2 linked regions of the Lytechinus pictus genome follow. The protein of the gene in region 1 purifies or fractionates together with the protein of each later gene. This does not show direct contact. Links are inferred from orthologs where the notes say so. Each region holds a gene or a part of one and is shown on either strand. Other genes may lie near its edges. The genes, in order: HMG box-containing protein 4-like and chromatin complexes subunit BAP18-like.

Region 1 (16,945 bases):
AAAGAGAAACTAATGTCTCCAACACTCACTTAATACACTGATGGTAAATATAGAACTACTATGCTAACAAGCTGTTGACGAGTTTTCTTAAAGAGTACGCGATGTTTATCCCGTTGCCAACTTAGCGCGAATAGCCCCACATTTCCATTTAACGTCCATCAATACTGAGATTATCCTTTTCGGTTCGATTGCACCCATTTCTATTATCCTTGCATAATGAAGATTCGATTGGTCAAATCCCCTCTCCAGAACAAAACTATTATGTAAGGGGAGTGAACAATAGGTATATTTCTGGCACCCCGTTGTGGAGTATCTGGAATTAGTTTACGGCACAACTAATCGATGGGCGATGAGATCTTGAACAAATAATGAGGCACAATTCAAAAATACAGACTTTCTTTTTTCTGTCTTCATCTTTATCAATTCTCCACAGACATTCGCTTTCCTTGTTTACGCATTGCATAGGATTCGTTTTATAATGCTCACGGTTTTACCCTCTTGCAACGAAACACAAAGTCATGAAGCCGTCCTCCTGCCCGGTCTCCCCGGCAAATTGTAACTGTGTCATTTGTTTTCATTTTGTTTGCGGTTTCCCTTTCAAATGACAATCTAAGTGTGTTGATTATTAGAAAGACTACATTTTACGAAGAAAATAGATCGATAATATCTGAGTGATTCAAGGATGAACATTCTGCATTATGTCATTGACAACGATATACCCAAAAATATATATTTAACATTCAGAGTGACACTGGGAGAGTGCGAAATTTAAATCAAACTTATTAAAAAGAAATTGTACGATGCCTGATACTTCTTCTACTTGCCGAAGTTGAAATTGAAGTAACGATTAACTAACTGCTAAAAAGTGGGATTAATGAGCCAAATATCTTTAGGGACAAGATATTTCGAGAGGGGCAGATTTTCTAAACGGCTACGAGAAAGCGAAGTGACCCATCAAAAACTTCATCTTTAGATTTAACCCCCCCCCCCAAAAAAAAAAAAGGCACAATAATCAGAAAGCAAGATCAAACTTATAAATTATAATTTGTAAACAAATTTTTGGCATTACTCCTTTATGTTTAAGATCGCATGCTCGATCTATAATGAAAATCATAAGTATAAAAAAAATCAGCAAGAAATTTACCCACATTGTGCTGCATAATTGTTACCCACATTGTGCTGCACTCAACCCAGGTTTATCTATTAGTCCAGTCAATCTAGCCAGAAAAGGGAGGTAACCCACAACTTATTGCAACACTGGATGTTTCCACTGAAATGCTTTCCAGGAAGGTCCCCTAAACAACATACTAAAAGTCCCAAAAAATCCAAGCAGTTGAAATTTATGAACTTTGCATATTATGCAAATTAGCCATAGAAAGTTAGAAAAAGAAGGGAAATAGTCCAAAGATTACAAATTAAGTGTCCAAAACAATTTAATTTAAATGAAAGTTCATGATGAATAAATAAGTTCAGTGTTTTTAGTTTTAAAAAGCTAGCAAATCTGCTTAATTAGCGTATTGTGCAAATAAGTGGAAAATGTCAAATACAATTCTCACATTGATTGCAGTGAAAACATTTCAGTTGTTCAAATTAACATGCTGCTTTCACTAAGCATGATAATTTATCCTAATATAATTTATATATTGAAGGAAAAATACTGGAAATAATTATGTTATTCGCTTCCTAAAGCCATGTTGTTAGTCTGACAAGATGATGGGATTGGAAGACGAGTGAAAAAAATATTAAAATGAGGGGAAGACTTGGAAAATAAAAAAATCGTTCATGTCACTATATACAATTTTCGCTCGTGCTTCGCGCTCGCATTGCCTGTTAGGTGATTTACATAACTTGTTCAATATGGAGCTTAAATATCAAGTTTGGAAGTCAATATACAAAACATATTTCACCTTGGAAATCGAACTTTCATTATTTTGTGTGATTTACAAATTTATTTTTATAAAGTGCTCTGCAAAAATGTCAGTTCTATGGTCTGCATATTAACATTTTCTGCTCGCGCTGCGCGATCGCAAATTTTGATTTTATTATCAGGTACTTATTATTTTCGTGTATTCCATTAAGTGTTCAAAATATCCCTTTTCACGTATCAGCTATAGCGCTGCACGCTCGCATTTTGATTGGCGAGTTATGTATGTGTCAGTATCGATTACACAACAAACTACTTAAAATCCCCTTTTCATGACAGTTAATCGAAAATTTCGGCTCGCAATTTGCACTCGCATTAATTCCGCGCCCTCATTATGCATTAATAAATAAGATATCAATTTAATAATTACATTGTACATTTTGTTTCATCTCGCGCTTAGCAAGAGGAATATATGATGACATGTCCTAAGGATGTCCCGGTCCTATGTCAAAACTCAAAATAATAATAATAAAAAATATCAGCTCTTTATTAAGTGCGATCCATATCAAACCCACAATTTTCCTACAAAGTGCTTAAAATATAGAGCTGAAATTAACCCTTTTTTAGATCGGAATATCAAATATTTTATGCTCGCGCTTCGCGCTGGCTTTGATTTTCATGATAAAAGATGTATTTAGAATGCCTAGATTTTAGGATTAAATTATTTATTTATTTTTTATTTATTTCAAATCTTTATCCAGAGTAGCCTGTTCAGCTTTATACAAACAAATATGTAAAATTACACAATATATACAATTAAAACGTTCATTAAAAATCGCTGGTCTTCCACAGGGCTCTGCATTAATACCTAAAAACATATAATTCATAACATAAAGTAAACATAAGTAAAGAAGACATATATACACATCAAAATAAGATTCAGAATGAGTAAAAGGACATGGTAAGAGAGGGAGAAAGAGAGAGAGAGAGAAAGAAAGGGGGCAGAGGCAAACAGAGAGGGAGGGGGAGGCAGAGAGAGAGAGAGAGAGGGAAGAAAAATGTGTGAGGGAGAGAGGGGGAGATACAGAGAGAGAGTTCAGGAGCAAAGAATATTATGTAATATTTGACATATCAAGCATAATCTATTCTTATGTATATATAGCATAGGATAAAAACTAAATTGAGGAAATGATCATGCATTCATAATAAAACCTAATACATGGGCTGTAAGTATGAGAAGTGATGTCATATTCCTATCTGTGATTGCATTATATTATTTTAGGAGTAATTTAAAGGAAGTTGGTCGATTTTCTAGCCGCGTAGCGTCCGGAAGGTTGTTCCACTTTGTGGCACCTGAATAAAGGAAATAATTTTGATAGAAAGAGGTGGAACATTTTGGGAGTCTCAAATTCATTTTATTTGATCGTCTAGAGTTCCTCATTAGTACGGTGTCTAGACATACAATTATACGTGAAAGTATAAGTGGGGCAAGTTCATGGATTATTTTAAACATTGTGCAGCAGGCAGATTTCCAAAAGAGTTTGTCCAATGTTGGCCAAGATAATTTATTAAATACTTCATTGGACGGGGTTTCCCAAGTTAAGTGTGAAATTAAGTATGCTGCCCTTTTATGTAGGCGATTAAGGATATCGTAATTGGCATCACTTCTCCCTGTCCACAGAGGCGTCGATCCTGGGGGGGGGGGGGGCAGGGGGGGGGGCGATCGCCCCACCAATGAAAATATTGGGGGGGGGACAAACATATCATTTTGCCCCCCCCAATAAAATTCCGGATATGCATTAAAAAAAAACAAGATTGTAATGTTCAGCAAGCGAAATTGAGATACACAACTCGTTCTTTATTTAAAATCGTGCTCAAAATGTCCGCTTTTCAGATTGGAATATAAAAATTTTCAGCTCGCGCTTCGCGCTCGCATCATTTCTGTAGCAAAAACCCATACTTTTCATGATTAAATTGGTGAATGTAAATGTCCCATTTTCAGTTCTAAGCCTCAAAAGAACTGCTTCAATTTGCAATAATCTTTTCTTGGATATATAGCTTGTTCTTTATCAAAAACGTCCAGTAAACTGTCATTTTTTCAGATCGAAATATCAAAATTTTCAGCTCGCGCTTCGCGCTCGCATCTATTCTCTTTTAGATACAAATCTTAATCATTGGTACCAAAAATGCTTAGAATATCAAGTTTTCAGCTCAGAATATAAAGAAATTTGAGCTCACTCTCGGCACTCGTACTATCTGTGTAGTGAGATACGTGTCTGTGTCTCATGAGTCATACATATATATAGATATATACATATATATATATATATATATATATATATATATATATATATATATATATATATATATATGTGTGTGTGTGTGTGTGTGTGTGTATATAATATATATATATATATATGTACGTGTGTGTGTGTGTGTGTGGGTGGGTGTTTTGTACGATCGAGCGCCTTTGGAACGTTAATGATTTCGCCCCCCCCCCCCAATCTGAAAAATGGATCGACGCCCCTGCCTGTCCATACATTACAACAATAGAGATTATGGGGCATTATATACCCCCAGTAAATCTGTGACAATTGCTCAGCGGAGAAGGTAGATCTCAGTCTCCTCAAAATACCCAACTTTTGCTTAACATCTTTTGCAACTTTGTTTGTATGACTTCTAAAGTCTAGGTATGAGTCAATAATGACCCCATGACATTTCTATTCATTTGCACATGCTATGGATTTTCCGTCTATAATAATATCTAAGTTTTTATCTTGCAATGTGCAGATTCTTTGACGTGAACAAAGTAGCATTGTCTTAGTCTTATCGACATTGAGAATAAGCTTGTTTCGAATTAACCATTCATGTGTTTGCTTCATTACTTCATTAAGCTGTGTTTCAATGTCATTTTTAGATGTACCTGATACAGAAATGGTCGTATCATCGGCATACATGAACACAGATCCATTAGGAATACTCTTTGGTAGGTCATTTATAAATAAAACAAACATTAGTGGGCCAAGTACCGACCCTTGGGGAAGACCTATATTAACATCTTTAATTGTGGACTTGTTATTTTCTACAGAAACATATTGTTTGCGAAGAGCAAGATACGAGTGAAACCATTTAAGACTACTTGCACTACAACCATACATTTCTAATTTATCTAAAAGGAGTTCATGGTTCACAGTGTCGAATGCTCGACGTAAATCGAGGAAGATAAGTCCATTCATTTTCTTATTGTCGACGTTACGTGCATCTGCTCGCGCTTTGAGCTCGCATTATTATTGTAGGAAGATCCCCTACTACTCATCCTTTTCATGATTTACAAAACATGAATAGAGTGTCCCGTTCTTAGGTTTAAATCTCGAATTTTTCCGCTCGCGCTCGCATCAATTGTTTAGTTTTATAGCTATCCTATTTACGATTACAAATATTGATTAAAATGTTCCATTCTTTGTGTAGAAATGTCAAAAAATTTCAGCTCGCGCTTCGCGCTCGCAGTATATGATTGTTGAAATATTTAATTTCTTCATGGCCAAATGCAAGCAGTCCTTAACAGGTAGGGCCTTACTTTTCGATCAGTTCAAAACGTATCTAAAAATTTTCTGCTCGCGCTCGCATCATTGATGTAAGGAAGATCCCAATTACTCATCCTTTTCATTATTTACAAAACATGAATAGAGTGTCTCGTTGTTAGGTCTAAATCTCGAAATTGTCGGCTCGCGCTTAGCGCTCGTATCAATTGTTAAGTTATATATCTATTCTATTTAAGTTACAAATAGTGCAAAAAATTACCATTATTTAGGTAAAAGTGTCAAAAATTTTCAGCTCGCGCCTGGCGCTCGCATTATTTGATTGTTGAAATTTGTAACGTCTTCATGGCTAACTGCAAGCAGTAGGTAGGCCTACCTTTTCGATCAGTTAAAAACGTGTATCAAAAATTTCTGCTCGCGCTTCGCGTTTGTAGTAGTATAGTTGCATACACATCTTTTTCAGGATAACAATCATTGCCTAGAATTTCCAAATTTTAGGAAAAAATACATAAAATTACAAAAAAAAATTGCTCGCGATTCGCGCTCGCATTATATAAATAGGAATTGATGATATAAATTTATGTTGATTTATAAGGATAAAGCGAAGAAGTAACTATTACGACTACCCCTTCAAAGAAACAAAAAAAATCATGTTCGAGCGGCCGATCGGGGAAAATATGGCTGAAAAAAATTCGGGCCCCCCCCCCCCCCCTATTGGCGAAGGCTGGATCCGCCCCTGAAGTCAAGAGGAGAGCAAGACTTGGGTAGAAATACGAAGCATTCAAGCAGTGATACCCGTGTAGAACTGACTCATCATTGCACAATATGAGTGGAGTAACTGCCCCGGGGGTAACTGCTCACGAAAAAAAGTCAATATCAACCAAGCAAGAAGTGTAGGGATGGTCATCATGGTTACACATAATCTACATGGAATTTTAGAGGAAAGTATCACGAGTTTTCTTGAATATTTATAACATGCCGGATGCTTATTTGCATAATAAGTAAATCACACTTCAGATATGAAGCTGATTAGTAATGTATTGGGCATTCTTAGTGATCACATCATATTGAAAATAAAAATTTCTGGATTTTTTTCCATATAAGGATGCTCATATATATGCAAATGAGGTAGATTTATTTACGATTTTGTTTAATTGAAAGAATAAATAAATTTGTAAAACTTATCATGAGCTTCCAATCAATTTATTTTGTTTTCTGCACTTGATTTCCAATATTTGGATTATTTTCCTTATTTGCAACTTATTATGGCTAATTTGCATAAAATGCAACTTTTGTGATTTTCCTATGCTTGTCTATTTTAGGACTTTTAATATGGTGTTAAGGAAAATTTCATATAAGGCATTGCCATATTCCAATTTCAATTAATGATCAACTTGCAATTTTTTAGGAATGTATCACCAGTGCGTTTTCTTGAGTATTTATAGCATGTTAGATACTTATTTGCATAATATGCAAATTACACTACAAACACTAAGCTTAATATAAGTAATAGCAGCATGTAAATTTGAACATTAATGACATTTCCAAGCAGTCAATGTGAGAAAAATCACAATATCTTGCGATTTTTTCCATATACAGATGCTTATTTGAATATTATGCAAATGAGGTAGATTTGTTTGTAGGCCTACTTTTGATTAAAAACATTGAATACAGTTTAGTTTTGCTCAAATAAAAATGTTTTTTACACTTAATTTGTAATTTTTGGACTATTTTCCTTATTTTTCTAACTTTTTATGGCTAATTTGCATAATATGCAAATTTCCACAGCTTGGATTTTTGGGGACTTTTAGTATGTTGTTAAGGGGACCTTCCTGGAAAGCATTTCAGTGGAATATCCAGTGTTGCAATTAGTGGTGGGTCAAACCCATAGAGATGTATACTAATTATACATCTCTATGGTCAAACCCTATATTGACTGGACTATATGGCTAAGATGAAATTAAGTTATTTACACTTTCATAAAGTGTCCGATTTTTTTAATTTCGTTATTTTATTTATCTATTTCTATTTTATTCTTTTTTTGGGGGGGGGGGGTGGGATCTGACAGTTCCTTGGATTTTTCCCAGCAGCAGCGCTGCCTGGCCGGCATGCTCGACAGAGGGCGTCCCATTAAACGCGCCGATTTTCGCGTCTACGTCTAGTCTTCGTTCTTCTTGATCTTGCGAAAAAAACTCTCTCTGACTCTGACTGAGTCTGACAGATATTTGGAAACTCAAGAAAATTTAACAAGCATAATGACCTCGTCAATTCTCCACATTAGCGACATTTAGCTCCACATGCAGATATCACAGGTGTAGGTAAGAAAAAAAGGTTGAGTGCGCCGTTAGAGATGAGTTACAAGGGTGTTCAAATGAGCTGTATTGCATGAGTGGATTTCTTGTGTCTTTGCGTTTGCTTGGTCCCATATGCGAGACTTTGTGTTTGTTGTGAAGAGATAGCTTAGATTATAGATAGATCATAGAGCGATCGCGATCTGTGTTTGCGAGCGATTGACAGAATTCAGAAATTAACGTTACTTGTCTTAGATGATATTGATATATTGACATTTTGTTGTTCTTCGGGCCGGGGTTGTTTCCTCGGTGGTATTCTGAAAACGTTCTTAATCTTAATTTCTTATCTTTGTTATCTTTTATCTTATCTCATTCATTCATTGAGATAAGAAGACGCTAAAATCATAGACAGGAAATGGGAATAACCGTCGTTTCTGGGGATTTATTCAACAATTTCTGACATTTTACTGTAATCCCCATTTACCGACGGTAGGGTGTACGTGTGGGCTCGCATGTGTTCTCATTCCCTCCCTTTTGTCAATTCACAGTCCAAAGTTTGATGTAAATAATTTTACACATCAAATTTACAATCTAAGGATGTATAAACAACAAACTTTTAAAACTTGATATTTCAATGTTTAAATACTTTAAACGATATAGATGAAAAAGGCATGCAAAATATACTTTACCGATGTTTAATTGGGTTGAACACGATAAAAATGGTCAAAATGGCAGCCAAACTATAAAATATTTACAAACGAATGTCAACAATCACGAATGTGATATCGATATTGCTTTCGATATTATACGATCTGCTCCATATGCGAACGAAACCGAAGATAAACGATACTAGTTATACTAGTACTAGTACTAGTTATAATCGCGATATATCGATTCGAGACATTAAGTTAATAACGATAATGACGTCATTCAAGATGGCAACTTGCAAGAAAAACCGTCAGGTCAGGTGAAAATGTCTTAGATGACAGATTTCTCAATCATCCAGAGGATTTTTTTCAATAACTCCGGCCCAAGGTATGCAATTACTTAAGTTATTTATATTTCCCTGATAATGGAAACCATGAAACTTTCAATTTTGCTTAAAAAACAGTTTTAAATCGCGATCTATAAAACGCTAGTTCACTATACGTTGGCTGTAGGTACGGGGCCCCATCCCCTTCAGTCTACTAAAATCATTGCAAATAGGTATTCTGAAAATCTTCTTAACGCGTTCTTATCTCTGTAAACATTGGCGGCGGAAGCCAAAAAATTTAGGGGGGGGGACCATAAAAAAAATTAAAAGCCAAAAAAAAAAAAAAAAAGGTAATCAATCAAAATTTTACGGGGGACGCAGGAAACAAAATTGACAAGGAAAAAAAAATGAAAAAGTTTATCAACTACAAAGTACAAATTTAGGGGGGATCGTCCCCCCCACCTCAAATTTAGGGGGGACGTGTCCCCCCCGCTTCTGCCGCCTATGTCTGTAAGGACTGCCTCCTTCTTATACTCAACACGCCCATTTTTAGGATATTACCAATCGTGGGCACTGCGCGTACACTGTTTCTGGCGCATTGCGCGAAATAGGCATTTTATACGCAATGACTGATTATTATTTCGAGACACGTGCACAAAATAAAGAAAAAAAAGAAAGAAAAAAGTGAATAAAGCAGGTACGAATTATAAAGAATAAAACAGGAAAAAAAAGTAAGTAGGTAAGAAAGGAGACAGAAAATGGTCAAAATGAAGCAGAAAAAAAAAAAATGAAAGGAACAAAGCAGAAAATAATGAAAAAGTAAACGAAAAAAAAAATTAAATGAAAATTAAAAAATAAAAGAAAGGAAAAAGAATGAATAAATGAAATAAAAAGGAGGATAAATAGAACTATTATCAATGATAAAGTGAGCAATTAAAAATGAAGGTAAATTTAAAGAAAGAAAATGAAAGAAAGAAACTTAAAGGAAAAAAACCAAAAAGGAAAAAAAAAAGATTAAAAGGATAAAATGAAGGAATAAAGAACCGAAAAAAGAAAACGGAGAAAACGAGTGAAAGAAAGAAAGAGAAAAAGAAGGAATAAAAAAATGTAAAAGGTGAAGGAAGAGATAAAAAAGGAAAATGAAACATAGAGAGAGAGAAATAAAGAAATTAAAGCAAAAAATAAAGACTAAAGAAAGAAATCGAAGGAAATGTTGATTCAAAGAAAGAACGAAAAAGGGAAAATAAAAAGGCAGGAATAATGAAGAATGAATCAAAAAACAAAAAGAAACAAAGAAAAATTAATGGAGAGAATAAAGAAAAAAAGATTTTAAGAAATTAATAGAAGACAGACGGAGAGAAGAAAGAAAGTAAAGAAAGAGTAAATAACGAACGAACGAAAAAAGAATGAGCGAAAATTAATTTTAAAAAAGAAGAAAGAAAGACACGAAAGTGACAGAAAGCAGAAAAAAATTAACAAATGAACGAAAAAGAAAAAAAAATGAACCAAAAAATAAAAGATATTAAAGAAAAATAAGGAAACAAAAATATTTAAAAATTAAGGGAAGGAAGAAAGAAAAAGGAAAAAAGAAAATGATTGAAAAAAATGGGGAAAACAAATATAAAGACGAAAGAATGAATGAAAGAAAGAAAATAAAGGAAGAAAAAAAATTGCAAAAAATAGAGTGAAGGAAGAAAGAAAAAGGGGAAAAAAGAAACAGAAAAAGGGGGAAAAAAAGCAAAAATAAAGACTTGGTAAAGAAAAAAAGAACAGAAAAAAACGAAAAGGGAAAATAAAAAAGGAAGATAGATGAAGAATAAATGAAACAAAGCAAAATAATAATAAGGGAGATATTAAAAAAATTCAAAAGAATAAAGCAAAAGATATAAATGAAGAATGAACGAAAGGAAGAAAAGTGAAAAAAATAAAGAAAAAAAGGATAGAAAAAAGGTCAAAAACAAAATAAAGGGTGGATGAAAGAAAGGGTGGAAAGAATACTTGTTATTACCAGTGGCCATCTATTTTGAGCAAGAAAGAACACGAACATCGTGAGATGTGATAACCCTCTAGCTATCTTAAATATTATCATAAATATCGTGAAAGATAAGAAAGATATACGATAAGAACGTTTTCAGAATACCACTTATCTTTATTTTGTATTATATGCGCGTGTAATAAATTTACGCGCTCAGCATAAGATGGAAAGCAAGATAAGAAAAAGATAAGAACGTTTTCAGAATACCGCCCCAGGTACGGGTCCATGGAGGGGATCGGGTAAGCCAATGAAAAGGTCATCATGGTCATCATTCACAAAGGACATGAAGGAAGTGCATTTGAATTTTTTGATCTACAAAAAAGTTAAGACGATGTCAATGAAGACGGCATGATATTATAAAGTTAATGATTCAACTTCAAAGTCAAACTTGTTAATTTTTTAAAGTTACGAAATGCACATCCCAGCACAGACACAGTCGGTGAGAAGGAAATGCATTAAAAAAGATACATTTAGGTCATCACTCTTAAATGAGGATATTATTGGCTCTTTTTTCTTTGACTTTGGGGTGGAAATTATATGGAAGGGCTGCATCCCCCCCCCCCCTTGGATCGGGCCTGTTGCTGGCAGCAGCAAAATAAATTAAAGAAAAACAGACCTCCTTTTTAGGGGAAACAAAGGAAGGGAAAGAATCCAGACCAGGGGCCTGTTTCTCAACACCATCTGACTTCTTGACTAAACCGTTGTCCGCTAACCATTTCACGAAGCCCTCTTTGCTTTGCCAAGATCAGGTACAACAACCTCACTAAATATTTATGACACCTCCGAACCTGTCATAACTTCTATCTTCATGACATAGTGGCATCACTTGAGTAGACTATGAGATGCAAAAGTGCCCAGAAATTTAAAAATGATAATCTTAAGTAATCAATCACAGAGGTTGAAATTACATCACAAAACAAGTGCATTCAATGATAATTTAATACAAAGAAACTACAAAAACTGGTGGTAAAACGCCACAAAACCATTCATTTTGAAATACTAAAATAATTTAATCAATAAAGATTCCACCATGTCAGGCCATCCATAACTGGACTCGTATTTGTTTTGGATAAATCTCTAATGTGATTTTCTAGTCATGAAATAAATTATTCATAATTTAATTTCATCAGCAATTGAATGCTCCAGTCTTCATGGTCTAAGTATTTTTGATGTATAATTTTTCCTGTGCTATTATTTTGAAAAGATGTATTTCCCAATTCATCACAATATTTGCAATTTTGTCATAATTTTTCTTTTTGAAAATTATGCTATTTTTTTACTAAGGCTACGTCTCGTCTGCTCTTTTTACCGATAGTATCGATATCAAGGTATTCTAGTTAGGAACCCTTTTGTGAAACAGGTTTAGCAAGATTGAAATTAACTCCGTGGTTGGTGGATAAAGATATGACTAACTTGTACAGGTGTTGAGAAATGGGCCCCAGGGGTATAAAATAATTGAAAATATAAAGTAAAAGGAGGTCACAGTGAAAGAAAATCAACTCGTATTTTCTGTGACAGAGATCTCTGTCATGAATTCCTACAGCAAATGACCCTTTTTCAGGTCAGCATATCAGGAAAATTTGGCTCAGAGGGAGGACATTGTATAACAATTGCTCCATTTATTTGAGTTATTTTTTAATTAATGCATGGTTCAACGAACTTCCTGTGTCCCTGGACTATTTTTTTATTTTCTGCATTTCCTGTATTTCTTTACAGACGTGGACAGGATATAAGAAGTTTGAAAGAAGGTGCCTCTTTTCTGACAAGTCTCTGCCTGTTCTCTTGGCACCAGGAACATGGCCAGCAAGAGTAAGAAACGGAAGAGGTCTTTATCCCCTGAACCAGGTCCTCCTCCTATCCAAAAGTTGAAGATTAAACCTATGCCAAAAATTCCTCCAGAAAAGTCCTCCAGCGGAAAGAAATCTGCAAAAAAGCGCAAACAAGATGTCTCACCGATACCTACCACAAGTGTGTCACCAACCGGAGATTGGGGCGAAGATGGAGGACTAAAGATGAAGTTTATTTTATCACCCAAGAAGACAAAAGTTGACGCATCGCCAAGGAGCGATACAACAGATGAGAGGCTCTCTCCTAAAGGGACTGCCAAGGGGAAGAAAAAGGGCAAGCAGATCAAAGCAAAGTTGTTTTTTGAGGATCAGGTGCTTACGCTTGATGGCGAAACAGTGACTCACCAAAATATGATAACACCTGGCAAGAAACGAAAGCAAACTACAAAACAGACTGTAGAAGACACAAAGTCGAGTAAAAAGAAAAAGAAGGAGGTTGACAAGTCCAAAGTCAAAGAAGAGCCTATGATGCCACCTTTTACAAAGGTGCCAAAGAGTGCTGAACGGTCCAAGATTAAATCCATCAAAGTAGAATCTGATAGTGGCTACAGCGATACCCCTCCAGTCTCGGCAAAGTCTAAAAAGCTGAAAGCAAAGCTGCAGACATTAGAGGAACAACCCGTTCCCAGTCCACAAGCTTCGGACGTGTCGAGGGATTCACTTCCCAAGAAGAAGAAAAAGGAAAAGGACAAGAAGAAGAAGAAGATGTTCAAGTTCAAAGGAGATCGTAATCGGTTTCTGAATGTCAGGGGTTCCTCTGATGATGAAGGCGATGATAGTTTCTCAAGGTCAGTCCAGGATGAAGACAGCTTAGGAGGCACGTATGATCTTGAGGATGAATACGATGGCAGCATCAAGAAGACAAAGTCCAAGGAGATGGACAGGATGATGATGCCTCAAATGCCGGTGCCAGATTACAGCTTGGAGAAGCAGGCTGCGGAGAGCTTTTCATCAAGCATCAAATCCAAGTCTAAGAAAGATTATAGGAATGAGGGTGAGCTTCAGTCGTCCCGCGCCGAAGACCTCATCTCCCAGCTTACAGCGTTTGGTTCTGATATGGAGACGATCTATCCAAGTTACATGACGGCTCCGGATGAGGATAAGGAGCTAGAGGATGGAGGTTGGATCAAGAAGAAAAAGAAGAAGAAGAAACTGCTCAAGGAGAAGAAGAAAAAGAAGAAGAAACCAAATCTTTTTGAGAGGGATGAACATGGGAATGTGAAGGTGAGATGTAACTCAGAATAATAGAATAATTTTACTTTACAAATTTGAATAGCATTTTTGGTCATAAGAAAAAAGCTCTCAACTACTACCTTGGTCACATTTGCTCTACGGCGGCCGTACGCCGAGTCGAAAACAGCCATTTTATCCTTTTTTATTCAAACCACCGATATTCAGCAAGTACAAAAATGTTAAAACGGCTGTTTCGACTCGCCGTATGGCCACCGTAGAGCAAATGTGACCGAGGTATAAGTAGTGTACAGTCCTATGTAAAAATATGCTATACAAAATACTTAAGGCATAGCAGTCTTTCAAAAATGTGGAGCAAATTACGATGCGATACAAGGAAAATTATTACCTGGTATAATGTGGTTCTTGTCACCATAAAAAATTACCTTTTATAGAAGAAATTTATTTCCTCAGATTATGGAGGGAAAAATGTAAGAGACAAAAGTTAGTAGACTTTAAGGAATATTCTTTTGTATGACCATTGTTACGTCTGCCCCATTATACAAAGATTTCCTTTGATGTGTCTTGATTTAAGAAATTTTTCTGAGGGTGTACATGTAGATTGCTCTTTTAATTTATCAGGATGCACTGTACTTCAAGTCCAACATCTTCTTATTAGGAATTATATGGAGCTCCTTTGAAGGTTATCAATTAAAAGTGGTAAACTTTGTGAGTGCTAAAAAAACATTCTTCAGGTTTCGTTTGATATTTCTGGGCATCATTTTCGTTGGAAGTTTTTCGTTCTTGCCGATATTATTGTTAGTTAGCACAATCATATTTAAGTATGATGACAACATCCTCGTGGAGACAGCATTTGTGTACATAATGATTCAAGATTATTTATTTGTATTTTTTTGCTTTGAGTCTGTTGGGTGATGTTGGTTACATACTTGTTTTGATTGACATTTGTTAAGGATGGCACTTTTCAGACTGAAGTCTGATTTTAGACTTGGTCAACATATTTTCGGCTCTAGAAAAAATTTTCTTGTAGGAAAAGGTTATTCTAGGTGAATTTCAGATTTTTTGTCAGATCTAAGGGGCATCCCTGATGTGGGAAGTCGTACAATTATTCCACAAGTACATGTAATTCAGATGCGTGACACATCCTTTTATTCATTTTACAGTATGTTATGCGGAAAACCAAACTATCTGGATACATGTTATGGTGCAGAAGCTACAGATCAACATTTGTTTCACAGAACCCCGGACTCGGTAAGAACAGATTTTTTTCCCCCGAAAATGTGTTAAGAGGATTTCAGTAGTGTATGAAGTATATTCTTTCCCCTATTTTTTTCTCCATCTCATCAAGGTATTAAACTAAATGGTTTGACTGACAAAATAATTTATTGCATACATTTACTGCACTTGGTCATGATTTAACATTTTACTTCATAGTTCATACTTATGCATGATTAATACGAAAGGCCAATAAGTTGTTCAATTACAAACCTGCATCGTATTTTATTATAACACCTTTTTAGTAATTTTAGTATCAGTATTTGGAATGTGATAATCTCACCAAATTTTGTGGAACAGAAAAAATGACCAAAACAGCAAAATTGAAACTCTTAAACCTAACTAGGCCGGGCTTTTTTGGCTGTTCTGTGGCCGGGGGGGGGGGGGGGGGGGGGGGGGGGGGTTGATTCAACCCCCCCCCCCTGAGATCTTGGCCGCCGATTGTGCGAGCGCCGCAAAAATTGGCATGCTGGTAGTGTGCGATGTAATCTACAAGGCTGTATGGTAAAATTTTCCAAAATAATGAGATTTTATTTTATATGAATTAATTATGCTAATTTATGCATAAATCATTCTTTTTGCTCTAATTCACTAAATAAAGCTCCTAGAATGCTAATTTTTGGTTAAAATATTCTTTGTAGCATTCTTCACAATGGCAATTGAAAAAAACTTCGGTTTGGAAATCAATTTCCTATGTATTTTATTGTTTTATGAATTTCTTATGTATTTCTCTGTTTTTCAACCTTTTGTTTTTCTTTGTTTTTTTCACCAGATTTATTGCACAACCTTTTTGAAGCATAATTATGCAAAGATCAATTGCTTTCAGCTGTTTAAAGTAAAAATAATCATATCTTTATGAATAAGATGAGAAAACTCAATTTGCATTGACTTTGTACACAAAATCACGTTTTGGAACAATTTTTGGTCTGACATGCACTTACAAAATGTTGCGTAATTTCGGAATCGCGTACCCGTGCATCGTAAATTTGGTCTCAAAAGATGCGTGAGACTTAAAAGTATAAACTCTGCGAGTGGCGCGGTCAAAAAATTTTGCGCGGCGGAATGATCGCAGAAAATGTTGAGGGGGGGGTTGATTCAACCCCCCCGGCCATTTTAGGGTTAAATAGATTTCAAGATGTATTTCGTTTTCATTCTCTATTCGTGTATGCAATGTAGATTTTTCCACCATTAGCCGTCGCATGGGGGCTCTCTGGCAAACGCTGGACGAAGAGGAAAAGAAAGTTTGGCGCAAGAGAGAGATCACTGTTAACACAAGGGTCCCAGTGAAGCGGCTCACCAAGGGCAAGGGCGGGACGACGACGCATCAGGATGTTCCGCCCTTCCGCCTCAAAACACCGGACAAGTCCAGGGCCAAGATTAAGAAGGTTGCCGGTGCCAAGAAGAAGAAGATGGTGTCTAAGAAGAAGGTCAACACTCCGGTGAGGATTACCCCGCCCAAGTGGAGTCCCATTGATTGTGCAGCACACCTGAGGCTGCTCGGGCAGTCACTGAGTGATGTAGGAGGCAAGCTGCAGGTTCACAGGGTGAGTAGCTCATTTATTCTCTATCCTGACACAATGAAGTTCAGCTGGGGTAATTCATATTCTGAATTCAGTGCCATTCGGTCTTAATGAATTTGTGATTATGGATACCAAAATGTGACACAAATCTCTTACAATACAGGATCAGTATATCAGCTCATTTGACGTTCAAACCCTAAAATATCTGGGAATAATAATGGTAATGATGATGTTGATGATGATGATGATGACGATGATGACAATGATGATGATGTTGATGATGATGATGATGATGATGATGATGATACAATCGCCATTACAGCATCAGGAAAGGGCATAGTAAAGATATGAAACATACAATGTAAACAACATTTTGACAGAAATATACTATCGCAAAAATTTTAATTGAA
Region 2 (17,510 bases), on another chromosome or scaffold:
CATTAATGGATTCATTCTTTGGCAACTCAAGTTGAAAGTGATTTCATATATTATAGTTTCTAAAAAAAACAAATACTTATAATCATTTTATTGAGAATATGCAATCTTCAGTATAAAAAATACTACCAAATTCTCCATGGCATCTTAAAAAAGAATAGCAGAACATACACATTGCTATTTACTGCATTAAAGTCTGATCTACTATGGGTGATTTCAAGTTTGGTGTTAACCAATGGCGTTTGTGTTGGGCTTATTTCTGCACCATCCAGAGCCCCAAAACCAAAATGTAGCTGGTGCTAGGACCGACATCATTAGGTGTTGAGCCAATAACAATGTCTTCAATATCATTTCTGTAAACCCACTTTGGTGTTGACCAAGATAGGGCAACCTAATTCACATACTCAATACTAGCACAGCACTAACACAACACTAACACAAAATTTGAAATTACCCACTCTATAAATATTAAGCATATTGGGAAATAATCCTATTGGTCAAGCACCATTCTCTTAAGTAGCCTTCCTGTCGCACGATTACCCTGGAGAAAGTTTTTAGGTAAAAAAATGGAAGTGGCCAATCTTTAGTTTTTGACAGGGTTACTTATGTGATTGACAATGCTTCAACTTTGAAGCAACAAATATTTATTGTGACCCCCCCCCCCTCCTCCCTGCCAGAAGAGATACCACTTGTTGGGAAAAACCTCTAGTTTAACATCTCTCTCTTGTCTAATCTCTGACACATAGCCTGTATCATGGAATGTGAAATTATAACTATGCATGTTAAATTCAATAACTATGTGCAACAAATACAAAATTTCTAAGTGCTGCATACTATTATCCCTGCTTAAGCAAGGCTACCCTGATAAGCCCAAGCATTCAAGGAATCTCCTCCTACCATGTACCCATTTACTACACCTGGGTGGAGAGTGGCAAATGTCGATTAAATGCCTTATTGAAGGACAGGAGTTCTGCAGTGGGATTTGAACCATGAACCTTGTGGTTCAAAGTCCAGAGACCTATCCATTGAGTTTTGGTTAGACAATACTGCTACAGCATACCTATTGTCCATTGTATTGAAAAAAGGTGATGATTTTACCCCCAAGAAAATGGCAGTATTTCCCATATAAATGTGTCATAACCGTGAAGAAAAATATTAAATTGGTATTGAACCAATAGCTAGAACATGGCTTTGTAACATAAATTTTAGTGATTAATCACAATGATGACTGTATTCAAACATGAAAAAAAAAACGATCAGAGTTTATGGAACCTTGTCAAAGTTAAAGCTCCTTTCTAAATTCCTTTGTGCTAAAAATTTCACAAAAACACCCTTTCTTAAGATTTGCTCTTTAAAAGTAATTTCCAAAGATTGGCAAGAACATACCTCTCATTTGCATAATTTGCAAATAGAAACGTTTCAAGTGTGCTTTGATATTATCATGTGAATTCACATGTTTATCAAGCAGAAGGATGTAACTCACCTGTTGGCCATTTTGGGATGTTGACACCAAAATTACATATTTTTGACAGTTTTGGGTGTATTCATTTGCCCCCCCCCCCCTCCCCCTCTTACCCCCCAACAAGCAGAAGGATGTAACTCACCCTTTTGCCATTTCGGGATTTTGACACCAAAATTACATATTTTGGACATTTTTGGGGTGTATTCATTTGTATCATTCTGCTTTTTTCAATTATTCTCTACTGAGGTATTCCTTGGTTGGCATCCCAAAACCAACTCAGCTCAAAGGCAATCAACAAACCTGCTATCCTTTCTATTGGAAAGTAGCGATGATCACGGCACCAAATAACAACTATTTTGCACATTTCAATGAGTATTTCCCTTTGCCCCTGTGGATTTTTTTTCTGCCTGTTGAGCTATCTAAGTAACTACTCTGCTTTCTTCGACTGTTGTCTGCTGAGGTATTCCTTGGTAGCGCCCCAATACCAGACCAGCTGGGAGGCTATCATGGCATTGCAGGACGACGCGACGATGTAGGTCCAGACCAGCATGGGGTCGTTGGTCTCCTGTATGCTGGTGAAGATTCGGGCCAGGCTACCGGCGGTCAGCATGAAGACGGTCACTGCCGAGAGCTGACCGGTGTGGCCGTTGCTGAAGTTTGTATAAGCCTGTATTAACTGTAGAAGAAAGGCAAAGGCACGAGAGGGAAAGGGTGATTGGTTAGCAGCATAATATACTGCTGCTGGGACCACTAAAAAAAGTAATCAAGGAGCCCAGTGCATTGTTATGTAGTCCTGGGACGAATACATTGACAGAAGATTGTTCAAACTAGACTAGCTCAAACAATCACGATTCCTGGATTATCAGAAATCCCCCCAAATTTACCAATTTTCCAGTGGTCACACATTGTGGGGGAGCTGACTCAGTCGAGTGTCCCAGTACAACGCATATGACATGCACATCAAAACAGCTGAATGATGCACGCTCGCCATCGCAGCCATCATTGGCTGAACACAAGAGTTTCATTGACACAATTTTTTGTGAACTGCTTGGAAGTTTCGCCGATATTGCATAGTGTGAACATCCCATGCTTGAGTGAACCCAAATTGCATGGTTTTGTTGTTACTTTTTGAAGCTCTTGCTGAGTTTTTTTCTCTGCAGTCAATCAAATACTTGTGTTGGTTATGGTTGATCATTTTTGACAAGATACACGTACATGTATATATCATTTGAAAGCTTAGGGTGTGCTTTTCCAAACTCAATAAAATTCTAAAAAGTAATTTCGAGCAAATATTGATGATTTTTCTGGGGGCTGGTCCATATAAATCATTTAGAAAAAGCTCACTTACCTTACTAACAATGACGACAGGCATGTTGGTGGCTTGTAGCATGGCGATGGTGCTCATGGGAGCCAGTCCCGACAGAAGGACGTACATGATACCAAGATATGAGAGCAAGAAGGACATAGCTCCGGCCTGGTTTCCATTATAAAACATGCACAAAAATCCTATAGTGACGGTCTGTACAGCTAGAAACAGGGCTTCACCCCATGCTCTGTGAAAGAGAGGAAAGTTCAATCAATACTTTGATATGTTTATTGATCAATAAATATAAAAATTATAATATTTCAATTTTAAATATGATAATTTTATGTATTTATATAAACAGGTCTTCTTGCAATAGTTCTTGGATTGCAAGATGATAATCATGAAAACGATAACCATTAGCAAAGTATGTACAGTATGTAGCCAGACAATAAAACAGGTCATTTGACAATAAGTAAATTGGATCATAATAATTTACAAAAAGGATAACAATTGAGTAGAAGAATAGTAATTGGTTGTTGTCTCACGATGGATCAAACAAAGGATAACAACATTCAATACAGACCTCTTGCTGCTATGCAGGTGAGACAATTTATAAAACAAGCCTTTCGGCAATCGGTAAATTGGATCTCAAGATAATACTTACGAAAAAGGATAACCATTTGCAAAGGAATATGCCCATGATGACGATATCGCTCCAAGCTCTAGTATAACAGAAATTACATTCAAGCCTTCTCCACTTTTAGAAGCCAAAATCTTACCAATCTGTGGTAGTTTCACTGTTGTAAGATAAAAAAAAATAATAATCCATAAATATCTACTACACTCAAAATCATACAATATTTACCAAATATTAAAGGGATGGTCCGGGCTAAAAATATTTATATCTAAATAAACAGTAAAATTCACAAAGAAAAATGGTGAAAAAATCATCAAAATCAGATAACAAATAACAAAGTAATTGAATTTTAAAGTTTAGCAATATTTTGTAAAAACAGTTAAGCACATCATCATGAATATTCATAAGGTGGGTTGATGATGTCATATCCTCACTTTCCTTTTTCTTATGTTATTACACGAAATCAGAATTGTTTAATTTTTCATACATGTGTACATGTAAATGATGTGTCTCCATTATGATGAAATAAGGTGCGGCAATAAATAACTTACGTGCTTAATCAGTTGTAAATTGTTTTAGTTCTTGGTAGAAAAATTTTGAATAAACCTAATTTCATCTAATAAAATACAAAAGAACAAGTTGGGATATGACAATCATCAGCCCACCTAATGAATATTCATACAGACATGCCTAGAACTGTTCCAGCGGAATAATGCAAATCTTTGAAATTCAATAACTTTGTCATTTGTTATCCGATTTGATCAAATTTTCAGCATTTTGCTCTGTGAATGTCTTTTTATTTATTGAGATATAAATATTTCCAGCCTGGACCATCCCTTTACAGACAAATTTGTTAAACAATCTTGTTATGATGAACTTTGAAGGTTTAGATGGTGGGACAGACAATGTGGGAGAAGTTCACCATGTCATTAGTCCTGAAACAGACTGTTTGGGATGGCTGAGTGATAGAGTTGAAAAAGGAAGGTGAGAAAGAGAAGTATCTTTTGTGATATAAGGTGTAGTCCATAGAAGGACTGTAAACCAGTTGAGATGTGATGACTTGGAACAGAAGAGTTGATGGGTTGAGAAGTCTTGGCAGTGGCGAGTAGATAACCTACATGTACATGTACTCATTGCCACTCATCTATTCATGTATAACTTATCGTCAACAAATACAGCGTCAAGTAAGAACTTCAAGCATCACTTCAAAGAAACACAATTTACAAATACAAAATTTTAATTTTGATCAATCCCAAACTGTACTAATACATTCAATATATTAGACATATGATGAGTTCCAAGAGATCTCTGTACATTTTCATGCATGATAAAGATGATTTCTTCCAAACACATATTTTCATCTCTGTACACTTTCATGCGTGAGATTATTTCTGCCAAATACATATATATATATTAAAGTAATGCTCCTGATCTACATGTACATACATAATTGCATATGCACCACAAAATGCCCCTTATAAAAAAAAACAAGAACAAACCCCAAGCAAGTAAAATACCATCATTTTTTACCAAACTTCCTGACATTAAATTTACCTACCCTGCCAGGCTTCATGCTGGTAGGTTAGATGAATGAAAAACATAATACTTTTACATAGTATGATTATTGAGGTTAGCATCTAAGGTATATAAACCCTAAGGGTAGGATATAATGTTAATTTTTTAGGGTCTATCTTTCTTTTCACATTGGGGCAATTTCTGAATTTGGGGAGTATTTGTTTTCATTTGATGGCTACTTGTTAGGGGGTGACAAACAAACAATCATGCAGCAAATCTTTATTCTGCCATAGTTGGAATATTGATTTTCTATAATCATGAATTTTGTTCATGATTGTTTGTGAGAGATCTTGGGGCAACTCTAGAAAGAATGGTGGCCCCAAAGCATAAATTTGGGGGGAATATTAGGGGCAATTTGGGCTGACACAAGGGCAAAGTCACCCGTTGCACTCGTGTATTTCCTCACTGCGAAGGTTATCAAATCTAACTAAAGTGGTCTGGATCGATTATTTAGCATGTTGAACTTCTTCTTCTTCATCTTGAGTTCTTAAATGGTAATCAGTCGCACTATACATAATATTATGAAATATTCTCAATTTCTGTTTATTTCAATCATACTTTTTTATATACAAGAGGGGAGGGGAAGGAGGGTGGGGGAATGGGCAAATAAACAAACAAGTTGTATTTGTGCTAAAATTGTCTGAGGACCCAATTGTTCATGAAAGATTCAATCAGGGTCCTAAGAAGATGACAGGGAAAAAAAGAGAACAGAAGAGATGGCATGAAAAGGGCATGAAATTGACCAACCTCTGATTTCCCACAAAATTCTGTAATCACTCAAAACAAATTATCCATTTACTATCCAGAGAAATCAAATCAAATCAAATATCTTTCAATTTTGTGTCAATTTTTGTTTTCATTTTAAATAAAAAAAAAAATAAAAAAAAAAAATGAAGACCCGATTTACTTACCCATAAGAGATCCAGCAATGATGCCTAATCCTAATACTTTGCTCAAGGCGATTTTTAGGCAGGGAACTGTAAAACATAAATAAACCACTAATTACACATCAAAATGACAATTTGGGGAATTCCAACTTCAACAGACCTTAAACTGCTCCAGTGTACAAATATTGGTGTCTTGATATTCCATTAATAGCAAAGTAGCCTACATTATTTTAAATCAATGTACTGTATAGTCTGAAATTTGAAAAATAATCTTTGAGTAACTACTGCTACATATACACTACACTGTCAGATATTGATAACTTTTGTAAAATAGGACCGAAGTAAAATAAAATGTTTCTTTCAAGGTTCTTATGGTGTCTTATTGTTCACAATTGGGCCTACAGAACAAGGAAAAAAATTGAAAATATCAAAGTAAGAAGGATATACAGCACACTTGCAAAAGATAATTTGAATCTGACAAGACCAAGGTTAAGAAATGTCTTCAGCTGTGATTGATATACTGTAGTGTAGATATGTACTTCGAATATGAAAAATTTAAAGTTTGCAAAGAGTAGACTTATTTATTCATTTTTTATAAATTTTCCATATTATTAAGTAGAAATGCTGTTTATTTTTTGTGCGAGTGCTTATCTAAATTCCAAACTAAAGTCTAAAGTACAACTTCTTCCCCCGTTTTCTTTGCTTACATAACTCAAGACTAAAGTACCAAAATCCAAATCTAAAACTTTGCTTTGTTAGAAAATTGGGCACTAATGCAGTTTCGCACCGGCCGACTCTTTGAGATAATTTCCGCACCAGTAATGCCGTTCCTGATGACGATATTCAGAGAAGTGGTGGGGCGGTGGGCATAATTGACCTTGAACATGTGCTTGAGATTGAGAGACTTGCTGTGACTCAGCCTGTGCGAAACTGCATTAGCGCCCCCCCAAAAAAAGAACTAACAGTAACAAACGTACAGATGGCGCAAATGCACCAGCAAAAATTAAAGTACGTGGGACCATGCTGGAGATAATGGAATGAATAATTGGGTAATTAACTTGAAACTCACCATCTAGGAAGTCGAAGTTTTCAAAGAATGTGATGTAACAATCTTCCGGGAGAAGAAGCATCACGAGCCACGGAAAGAGTCCGGTCCTTTCACCTTCCATCTTTAAATTTGTGTTTTCTAAGTTTTACTACACGACACGTACGAGTCAGTTTAGCTGTCAATCATGCAAGGTGCCTGGTGGTGGTGGGCGTGGCTCTGAAAATAACGGGGGGGGGGGGGGGGATGACTGGTAGTTTCTTAATTTTTCTCGTTTTACACATAGAGATATATACTATACATCTCTATGGTTTTACATAACTATACCAGGGACGTGAGAGGGAGACGTCCCTGATTATACAGGGGCCGCGGAACGGTTTTCAAAGGGGGGGGGGGGGGGGCTAACCATGCAAAAAATCATAATCATACATGGTCATTTTTACGTTTTTGTAGACAGTTTTGTGGTCAAGTCAATCTTGACATGCCATAATGATTGTGGGCATTAACGGGAAAGACAAGACAAGGTTTTTGAAAAAAGTGGGGAGGGGGGGGGGGGCTGAAGCTGAAGCACCCCCAATATTTTCCTTTGGGGTGCTGCGTGTATTATTCTCCATAGGTAGCACTCCCTGGAATTCTGGAAGGTGTGGAAAATTAGGAAGAAATGAAAAAAAAATGACCTACGTTTTATACAGAACCTACTTTTTTTTTTTTTTTTTTTTTTTTTTTTGGGGGGGGGGGGGGGGGGCCTTGTCAAATTTCTTGGGACCAAAATGACCTTCATTTTGTAGTCACCCCCCACTTTTTTTTGCTAGTCAATTTCCATTTTGTAGTGAAAACCTTTTTTTTGTTGCCTGTCAAATTTACATCAGCACTCCCAGTCAAAAAAAATCGTCCACAGGGCCCTGGTAATGAACTAATCAATTACTCCCCCCCCCCCCCGGTGCATCTCAGGCGGATAAGAGTTTTTTTATTATTTTTTTTAAGCGATTTGAAAGCGATACACCTAAATTGTTCGGACTCGAGTTAGTGCAGGGGCCGCGGAAGCGGGGGGGGGGGGGCTTCAGCCCCCACTTTTTCCCAAAACCGTGTAAATGACAATATGATTGTGATTTTTTGCATGCTCAGCCCCCCCCCCCCCACTTTGAAAACCGTTCCGCGGCCCCTGTTAAGTGGCCTATATGTACAGTATCCCTAGTTACCTCTCTAAGAATTATAACATAATTATGAATATATTACTTGAGTTTTCGTGCATTTCATTCCCGCGAACTGAACCCATTCCTAAAAATAAACCCTATTCTCCGAAAAACTCGGAACCGGCGCACGCCATTTAATTTACAGGGGAGGGAGGGTTGGATCCTATTATGAAGATTACATTTAAATGTCTTGTTTTCACGGATGATGTATGAAAATATTTTTTTGTGCTTCGCACTTTCATGAATCTATTTTGTATACATAATATCAGTGTTCTTAAGGCGGGAAAAGGCATATTGACATTGTCCCCTTTTCAGTGTGAAAATAAAAACAATATCAAAATCAGCTGAATCTCTACAAAATGATAGCCATGTTAATATATAGGACTATAATTTCATAGAGATTCAATAAGGGGGAGGGGCGTAGAAATATTTTCAGGCACAGTTTTCCAGATCGGCCGTTACAAAGCTCATTTGTGTTGTTTTGAGGCAGTAGTCCTTCCAAATACTAATTAACGGGCTTATTTTTACAAACAAGCTAAGGAAGATCTATATTAATTCATAAGACGAAAAAATGCGACCGCGAAGCCGTGATCTATTATGGGGTCAGGATGGATATCCAATAGACCAGTTCGTAGAACTTACTCATGGACAATTTGGTCAAATGACCTATCATTTCTTTCATTATGATAGGAAGATTTCAAAGCAAGATATTACGTAAGCTTGCCTTACATAGCAGGATGAAGAAATTGAATAGACCAGGTGACTAGAATAGCACACCAATGGACACTTTATGAAGGTATTTGTTGCATTCCTACTTTGAATGCATATCATATAGCACATGTTGCACAATGTACTTGGCAAACTGTGAAATACCATGCAGTCGTTCGTGGACGCATCGTTGTTTTTTGTGGATGTAAATGAAAACCACAATTCAAAAGAATATATGAATAATCAAGACATCAAAGTTGGTGCTTATCTCATTAGATTTTAAACCACCATGTCACATTAGTACAAATGACCTTCCTCTGATCATGCGTAGAATCTTTTGATCATGCACAGAAAGGAACTACGAACTGGCTCATTAAACAACATTACTGATGCGAGAGCAAATCGTGAGCTGAAATTTTGTGATATTCCGACCCCGCCAAAACTGGACATAAACACTTTTTTTGTAACCATGCGTGAATAGGAGGTATAGTCATGTCTATCTGCGAGCGCGCAAAGCGAATTCTGACCTAAAACTTGCACATTTCTAAGCACTTCTGGTAAACATGAACAGGATATGGGCATCTAACTATGCGTGAGCCGAAAAATTGATATTTTGACCTAAAATTTGGTTATTCTTATAAAAGCACTGTTTGTAATCATGAACAAGATGCGATCTAACCAAACAATTTATTCGATATTGCAAATACCAGAATTGAAAATATTTGATATACTGACATAAAAAGGAAATTTCCAAGGACTGTTCTGGAATTCATTAAGAGAATATGCCTATACCTATCATACAATGCGAGCGTGTAGCGCAAGCGGATTTTTTTTAAACATACATCCTGTTCATGGCCCGACGGGATGTAGTCTCTCGCTGAAACACAATTAATGAAAACTCGAATTCTGAGCAGAAGAATTTGTTCATATTGACTTCAAAACGGGATATTTTAATCTCCATATTCTTGAGAAGATTATTATTATCTCCCTCAACCGACAATGCTCCCGCGAAGCGCGAGCAAAATTTTTATCTTATTATCTATATGACCTGGAAGTTTGTCTAATTTTTTCACCATCCCTTATTTCATTCACTTTTATCGATAATCCTCTTTTACTCTCTCTCTCTCTTTAATCACTCATTCACACTCCTCTTTTCTCTTTTTTATTCCGCCGCCGATGGGAGGGGAGGGGGACCCCGACCCTTTGAATCCCCACCCTCAGAAATCCGTGCCCCCATCTGGATTCGCGCCTCTGCAGAAGTTGTCAGGATATTGGCCGCCAACTTCATCATAAATGAATATTCATGAGTCAATGACGTCACTAGCTGAGGACGGTGCGTCAACTCGATTCGAGTCGAACTAGAAAAGCAAAATAGTGAACTTACGAAACTATTTCACTCATATTTGAGGCTTTTCAGTAGGAAAGATGAGTTCAGCAGGGAAGGTAAGATATAATTTTCCCTACTTATTTGGTTATCAATTGAAAAGGTTACGATAGAGAGAGAAGAAAGGGCGATAATTACAGACCGAACTGTGTGGCGGAGACGCATTTTGCATTGTCTGTGTGTTTCTTATTGATAAAAAAGGGACGGCATATACGGTCACTCCAACGTAAATTGGTACGTGTGGGGCTGGATAGACAGTCTAGAAAAAGTATCACCAGAATTAGGATGTGTAAAGTTACAGTGCTGGACCAGGGCACTGGACTGGACAGCAGCAGAGGGCAGAGTGTGTTACTGTTACTGTTAGTCGAGATGTGGGCAAGAATATAATGATTAATGAGTAGGCCTAAAGAGTTACTTTAGACAGCTGGCACTGCCACTGCCACTGGCAGCAGCCGTCCGGCGTCTGTTTTGAGGGACAAGGAGTTTTTATAATTAAAGTTAAACAAACATTTTTTTTTTTTTTTTTCTCCTCGTACACTGTACACAGACGGCCCGCGATCGTGCAGCTGTCATTAACAATGCAAAATACCCCCTAATTTTTGTCTTTATTTCATAAAATTAGAAATATAGGAGTTAGGACCTATAATTAAAAAGAACTGACCAAAATAAAGATTATTAATCATTCCGTTTTGGCCTGAAATGCACCAAGACGGGAAAAAAACAAATTTAAAAGGAAAAAAAAAACAGTGACTTACTTCGGCTGTCGCGCAACTCCCATTTCCCTGGTTTATCCGAACTTAAAATACATAAACATATGGCCATTGATTGAGTCCCTGTACAGATCGAGTTAGAACTTCGGTCTCTGTAAAAGTGTAATTGGTGAGTGGACCCAGCGGAACAACCAATAACAGAGACCAAAGCTTTTTGTCTAGGCTTCCATTTGGAATAGCTCTATTTCCACTACTGTCTGGATGTTGTCAGAATCGTCTTCACTGTAGTCTAGAAAGATAGGTCCAACTGAATTAAACTATCAAAATTTGTGCATAGATGTGCCCGCTTAGCCCCAAATTTGTATGAATTTTGATCAAGAGCCGTAAAGCAAGGCTCCACATTAACTTTTTTTGGTGGTGGCCCATTCGGGCCACCAAAACCATCAAATAATTTTTTTTGGTGGCCCGATATTAAAGTTTGGTGGCCCGAAAAATATAAAGAAACACATTAAAAATTAATAAAACAAACTTCTGAAATATTAATTCTGCAGCCACTACCACTAAGTAACTTTCACTTTATCATCTTGTATGTAAACCTTGTTTGCTGTTTTTGCTAATTGGCTTGTGGTAAAATATAAATTGTTTCTATCGTTGTAAAAATTAGAACAATGCATAAAAGGGGGAAACAAATTAAAATAATTTTCATAAAGTATATTACAAAAAGAAAACAAAAATAATAAAAGAAATAAGTGAAATAAAACGAAAGAAAGAAAATGAAGAAAGGAAAAACAAAGAACAGGGAAAAAAAAGAAAAGAAAATTTAGAGAAAAAAAAGTGAAAGAAAAATGAATAAAACAATATTAATATAAACATGGGGAAAAGGGGAAAATTAAGAAGCCATTACGAATATTTTTTAACAGCTGTGGCAACAGTCTATTCTGACTGGAATATAATTAAAAGCCAAGCAAATAATTTCACTTACCTTCTGGAAATGGCACATTTCTATTTTTATATCCTTTAGTTTGTATTATTTTATTTTCAGTAGAAACATATTTTTTAATCAGGTATATTCAATAGGAAGGGGTATAAATGGTTTAACCAAGTGCTGTAAAAAAATGAAAGAAAAAAAATAAGAAGAAAACGGCAATAGTTATATCTGGAAAAAAAGTGTGAGAAAAGTCCTTCCCTATATTTGCCAAAATGTTGAAAAAATTCACATTTCATATCAATGAAATGCCTTCCCAAAGTATCTCAAGAGTGGTTTAAGAAGTCATTTATAAACAAGAAAGAAAGAAACTGTCTGTTTATTTTTGGCTAGAAAAGACACACCTTCGAAAGAAACCAAGTATCAACATACATACAAATGCACATGTGGGACTGTGATGTACATGCCTATGTGTTTTTATGTGTATTAATTCATTTGGAAATCGGTCTTTTGTAGTCAAAAGAGAGGTCATAATTCCTCTTCTTAATGCTTGCAAATAATCAGGGTACACCAAATTTTCGTAATATAGACTGTAGAATGTCATTTCATTGGTGTAAAATGTGACTTTGACTCAGATTTTCAAAGTTCTGTGGAAGATTTCTAAGGCAAGCAGCAACATTTTTTATCGCAGCTCCCAGAGTGTGAATAGGCTGAGCTAGATCTAGAGCACAGAGCTCTGTATGCAGTGGCTTCATGCAAAGCTCACGCCAGCCGGCCGTTGCGGCTGGCTGGATAATAGCTACTGTATGCTATAACTGTAGGCCTAATATGCAAACTGTGTGTGTGTATTTGTGTGTAGATCAACAAAAAGGGCGCATGACGAACTGGGTTGCAATTTGAACTGTAAAAAGTTGATAAATGCGTGCAAAATCGGGAGAAAAATTGCGCTACTTTTGAAAATTATTGGTTGCCCGATTCGGGCCACCAAAACTTAACATTTTATCAATAATGGTTGCCCGATGTGAATTTCTGGTGGCCCCGGGCCACCGGGCCACCGCTAATGTCGAGCCTTGCGTAAAGCCATGTAGTTAGAGATACCTTTGACGACTAAATAAAAAAAAACTGTTCTACTAAACAATTTGATGATGTTTTTCATGATATAAAAATCATTTTGTTTGAATGTTTTTTTTGCAGGTAGGGGAGATTTTCTCGGCGGCTGGTTCAGCGTTCACTCAGCTTGGTGAACTGACGATGCAGTTGTATCCTACTAGCGATCAAACCCCTGTCAGGTATGTGAGAAGGGGGGGGGCAGGGTGTATTTTTTTGTGTGTGTGGGATCTGCGAGTGTGTGTGTTTTCTCTATTTTCTGTATTATATTATTTTCTTTCAGTTCTCTCTTTGGAAAAATTAATGGATCAATCAAATCGATTTATGAATTAATGTTTATTAATTACAAGGTACTTATGAAGTCAGTTTATGTTTGTATTCACTGGAAGAAGCAATAAAAGAATAGGCCTACTTAAAGAAACCCATAACCCTACAAAACAAATTCAGCAGACTTTTATTTTTTTTTATCCATATATTTTAAGACCTGTATGTATCTGTATCTGTCAGGGCATATCATAGTTATCAATATTTATTATTTGTGTATCCTTTGAATTGAATTTGATAGTGGCAAGTGGACAGATGAGGAGGTTGAGATGCTGAAGAATGCTATCAAACAGTTTGGGGATGACCTTCACAAGATCAGTGAAACCATCAAGACAAGAACTGTGTAAGTATTACTTCATTTCATTTCAATTTCCATTTCATTTCCATTTCTATTTCATTTCGATTTACGTTTCTATTTCATTTCGATTTATGTTTTCATTTCATTTTCAATTCATTTTCATTTTTACATGTATTTCCATTTCTATTTTTATTTTATTTCCATTTCATTTTTAATTCATTTTCATTTTTACATGTATTTCCATTTTATTTCCATTTCTATTTCCATTTCAATTTCCATGTTTTCATTTTATTTCCATTTCATTTTCAATTCATTTTCCATTTTACATGTATTTCCATTTCATTTCCTTTCCCAATTTCATTTCCAATTCTATTTCCATTTCTATCTCCATTTCATTTCCAGTTCTATCATTCTATAAATCAATCAATGCAATGAGATTACCCTTTGGGTACAGTTAATGCAGAATCACTGAAAACATGATCAATAATCCCACAGCAGCACCCATATCCCTTTTGCAAGACATTTAGCTATATTTTCCACTTAGAATTCATGTGTATTTTATGGGTACCTGGTAAGGAAGGAATTCCTTGAATGCTCAAGCACCTGATCATAGCAGGGGTAAAAGTATACAGCAATTAGAAATTTCAAATTGCAGGTTATTAAATTTTGCATATTATCATCATCATCATTGTGACCATTATCATTATCATCATTATCACATCATTTTCACCAACATTCTAATGTCTTTACCATTATGACAGTTTTCATCACTATCACCATATCATCATCGGCATTATCACCATCATCATAAATATCTTCAACATCATCATCATCACCACTACCATCACCATTATCTCCATTTTCACCACCATCATCATAACCATTATCACAGTCATCGTCGTTACCATATCACCATCATTACCACCACGATCATTATCATCACCATCATCATCATCATCACCACCATCATCATCACCACCACCACCATTATCTCCATTTTCACTGCCATCATCATCATTACTATTATCACAGTCATCGTCGCCACCGTCATCATCATGATCGCCACCATCATCATCAGCCTTCACTGTCTTCACTCTGATCATCATCACCATTACCGGTATATTCTTTTCTTTTTCTTCCTCTGTTGTAGATCTCAGATCAGGGCAGCCATTAAGAGGAAATCCCTTGATGCCAACACGAGGAAGGAGAGAGTGGACAGGGGTCACGTAGAGCCGTCTACCGGCCTCACATTGATGGCCAGCCATGCTCCAGCACGCTCCTCGCCGACTACACCACCTGCTAAGAGGATAAAACATGGTAAATTAAAAAAAAAACTTGTTCGTTGGTAATCCCACCTGGTCTGCTGGAGACTTTGTTGGACTTTGATCAAACATTGATCTCTCGATCGCATAATGATATTTTTTGCTTAAGGTTAAATGTTTTAAGGTGGTTAGAGGTTAGCCTCAACAATTCGTGCAATATTTTCGCCGTGCAAAATTTTTTGACTGCGCCGCTCGCTGACTTTTTACTTTTAAGTCTTGCGCACCTTTTGAGACTAAATTTGCGAGGACTGGGTACGCGGTTCCGAAATTACGCAACATTTTGTAAGTGCATGTCAGACCAAAAATTGCTATAAAACATGATTTCGTGTACAAAGTCAATGCAAATTGGGTTTTCAACTCATAATCATAATTGTATGATTATTTTTAGTTTTGCTGGTCTAAATGGATTTATTTTATGCTGTTTATGATCTCAAAAGAGTCCCCGACAAAGTTCATTGAAAAAGCAATAAAAAACAAAAGGTCCAAGAAACAAAGAAATACATAAGAAATTGCAAAAAACAATATAATACATAAGACATTATTCTGATATCGCAATTTTTTTCATGTTCATTTGCTGAGAACACCACAAAGAGTTTCTACAATAAAAATTGGAACATTTGGAGCTTTATTTAGGAAATAAGAGGAAAAAGTATGATTTTGCATACTAATTACGCATAAATTAGCATAATTAATAGATAATGATTTGCATGAAATAAATTGATACAGGATTTTGTAGATTATGTTCCAGGCAAGCTGCGTGTCAATTTTCGGCGCGATCGTGCGATCGACGGCCGAGATCTCCTGGAAGGCCCCCCCCCCCCCCCCCCCCCCCCGGCCATATGATCTCCCAAAATACCCCGGCCTAGATAGGGTTAATTGAGGGAAATTGTCATAAACATTGTTTAGGGGGGAAAATTATCAAAACAGCATGCGAAAATACTTGAATAGGGTATAAATTTGATTAATGGATAAAACTTGTTTAGTGTGGATTTGTAAATTCTATAACGGAGTGCCCCCCCCCCCCCCCCTGAAAGTAGGCAGGGGGGTTGTAGACTGCTCATCTTTAAGTCACCCACAATTTATTAGTTCAACCGTTTATTAGTAGTATGGGGACTTCATTTTGTTAATTAAAGCAAACCGTTGATTTTTCAAATGAATTGCAATTTAGCATTATTAATTAGTTGGGGGATTTTCAGCCAATTTTTGTAGATTATGCCATCGGAAACAGGCATGCTGATTTTTGTCACATTTGCTTGGTCAACTGCTGAGATCTTAACCTTTAATCATCCCCCCCCCCCTCATTTTCATGGTCTAAATAATCCAGTCTTTTTAGGGTTGAATTTCCCTGCTACATATTGATATTACAAAATTGTTACTTTTTAGGTTTTGAATGACATGCATTGTTAAAGTCTTCACTTTTGCAACATATAGAGAAATTGATTTTGTGGTGTACCGTGGAGTTCAAATGCTAGACATGTTTATGGGTTTTTTTTGTCCAGAATCATCCGAGCCTGGGAACGATTCCCTGGTTGACATTGAAGGTCTTGAAGATGGTTCCTCGATATCACCGTCGAAGAGATTGGAATATGAAGGAATAGAGCCTGCCGCAGGAAGTAAGTCTTCAAGCTTTTCAGTGCTGTGCTATTTTTCTATACTTTCAATTTTTTCCTAGATAGTGTTTTTGTGGCTTTGTATTAGTACTCACAGATACTTCTATTCGTGGTTTTATTTCACATTAATTAAAGATAAATACCAGTTGTGGTAACGATCTCAAAATGAGCCCGAACAGAATCCAATGAAATTACCCTCAGTGTTTGTATGTATAAATTAAAAAATAGCTCTGGAAGAAAATGCGTAATTGCTGAGAAATGAGTAAAATAAGCATGGAATTCCATCAAATGTTGGGTATTTTTCAAGCAATATTAATACACTGTCCCACAAATGCTTTTCTGTGTTAGTGATCATCAGAATTATCAATTTTGAGCTAATATTTCATGATTTACAAAGATAAGTTTACATTAATGTAACAGATCTAGATGTATGATAATATTTTGACAATTAACCTGATTGATTTAAAAGACTTTCTCAATGAAATAATTGTTTGCTGCAACTACTTTCTTTTACCTTTAATGATTAATAATTTTCATCACAATTATTTTGCTTAAAATGATAATGATAGTTCCTATTTATAAAGCACCCTTTTTTGCGAAATACAAAGCGCTTAAACTACTCTATAATATTTTAAACATCATGATAAAGATATGCATAAATGTTAAAATGCTATAATGCTCAAATGTGCTAAAACTACTCTGTATATTACTAAAAGTGTGTATTATTATTCAAGTAAGTGCTTTAAGTGCTTAAAGCTGGCTTGATGAAGAAAATACTTAGCAGTGATCTGAATATTAGTATATTTGCTTGCTTCGCCAAGTAAATTTCTAAGTGATTTACTTCATCGATCAGTATTCTGAATTGAATACCGGCCCAGTGTCTCATAACACAAAGGTTAGCGATTAATCGTTAATTTGAGAGAACAATTCTGATTGGTTCCTTGTTAGTCTACTGAGCAAAATGTGCATGCAACGATGATCTTGATGGGCCGTTGCAATTTGCGATTTATTGCTAACCTT

Evidence for each region.
Region 2: the proteins of HMG box-containing protein 4-like (region 1) and chromatin complexes subunit BAP18-like purify together in Homo sapiens (affinity purification with mass spectrometry; 4 studies listed by BioGRID and IntAct, with this or other methods). This does not show direct contact. The link is inferred for Lytechinus pictus from reciprocal best matches to the Homo sapiens genes HMGXB4 and BACC1.

Annotation. Positions count from the first base shown.
Region 1 is NC_087255.1:16,421,331-16,438,275, forward strand, and holds the start of HMG box-containing protein 4-like, read left to right. Parts: upstream 1-7,557; 5' UTR 7,558-7,721; intron 7,722-12,418; 5' UTR 12,419-12,498; coding exon 12,499-13,773; intron 13,774-14,903; coding exon 14,904-14,991; intron 14,992-16,191; coding exon 16,192-16,559; intron 16,560-16,945. UniProt on the Homo sapiens protein: Negatively regulates Wnt/beta-catenin signaling during development.
Region 2 is NC_087260.1:10,835,684-10,853,193, forward strand, and holds the start of chromatin complexes subunit BAP18-like, read left to right. Parts: upstream 1-10,115; 5' UTR 10,116-10,235; coding exon 10,236-10,253; intron 10,254-13,023; coding exon 13,024-13,118; intron 13,119-13,501; coding exon 13,502-13,603; intron 13,604-14,708; coding exon 14,709-14,875; intron 14,876-16,379; coding exon 16,380-16,493; intron 16,494-17,510. Other genes in the region: mannose-P-dolichol utilization defect 1 protein-like, read right to left, coding at 1,887-2,135, 2,808-3,012, 3,430-3,562, 5,889-5,954, 6,934-7,033. UniProt on the Homo sapiens protein: Component of chromatin complexes such as the MLL1/MLL and NURF complexes.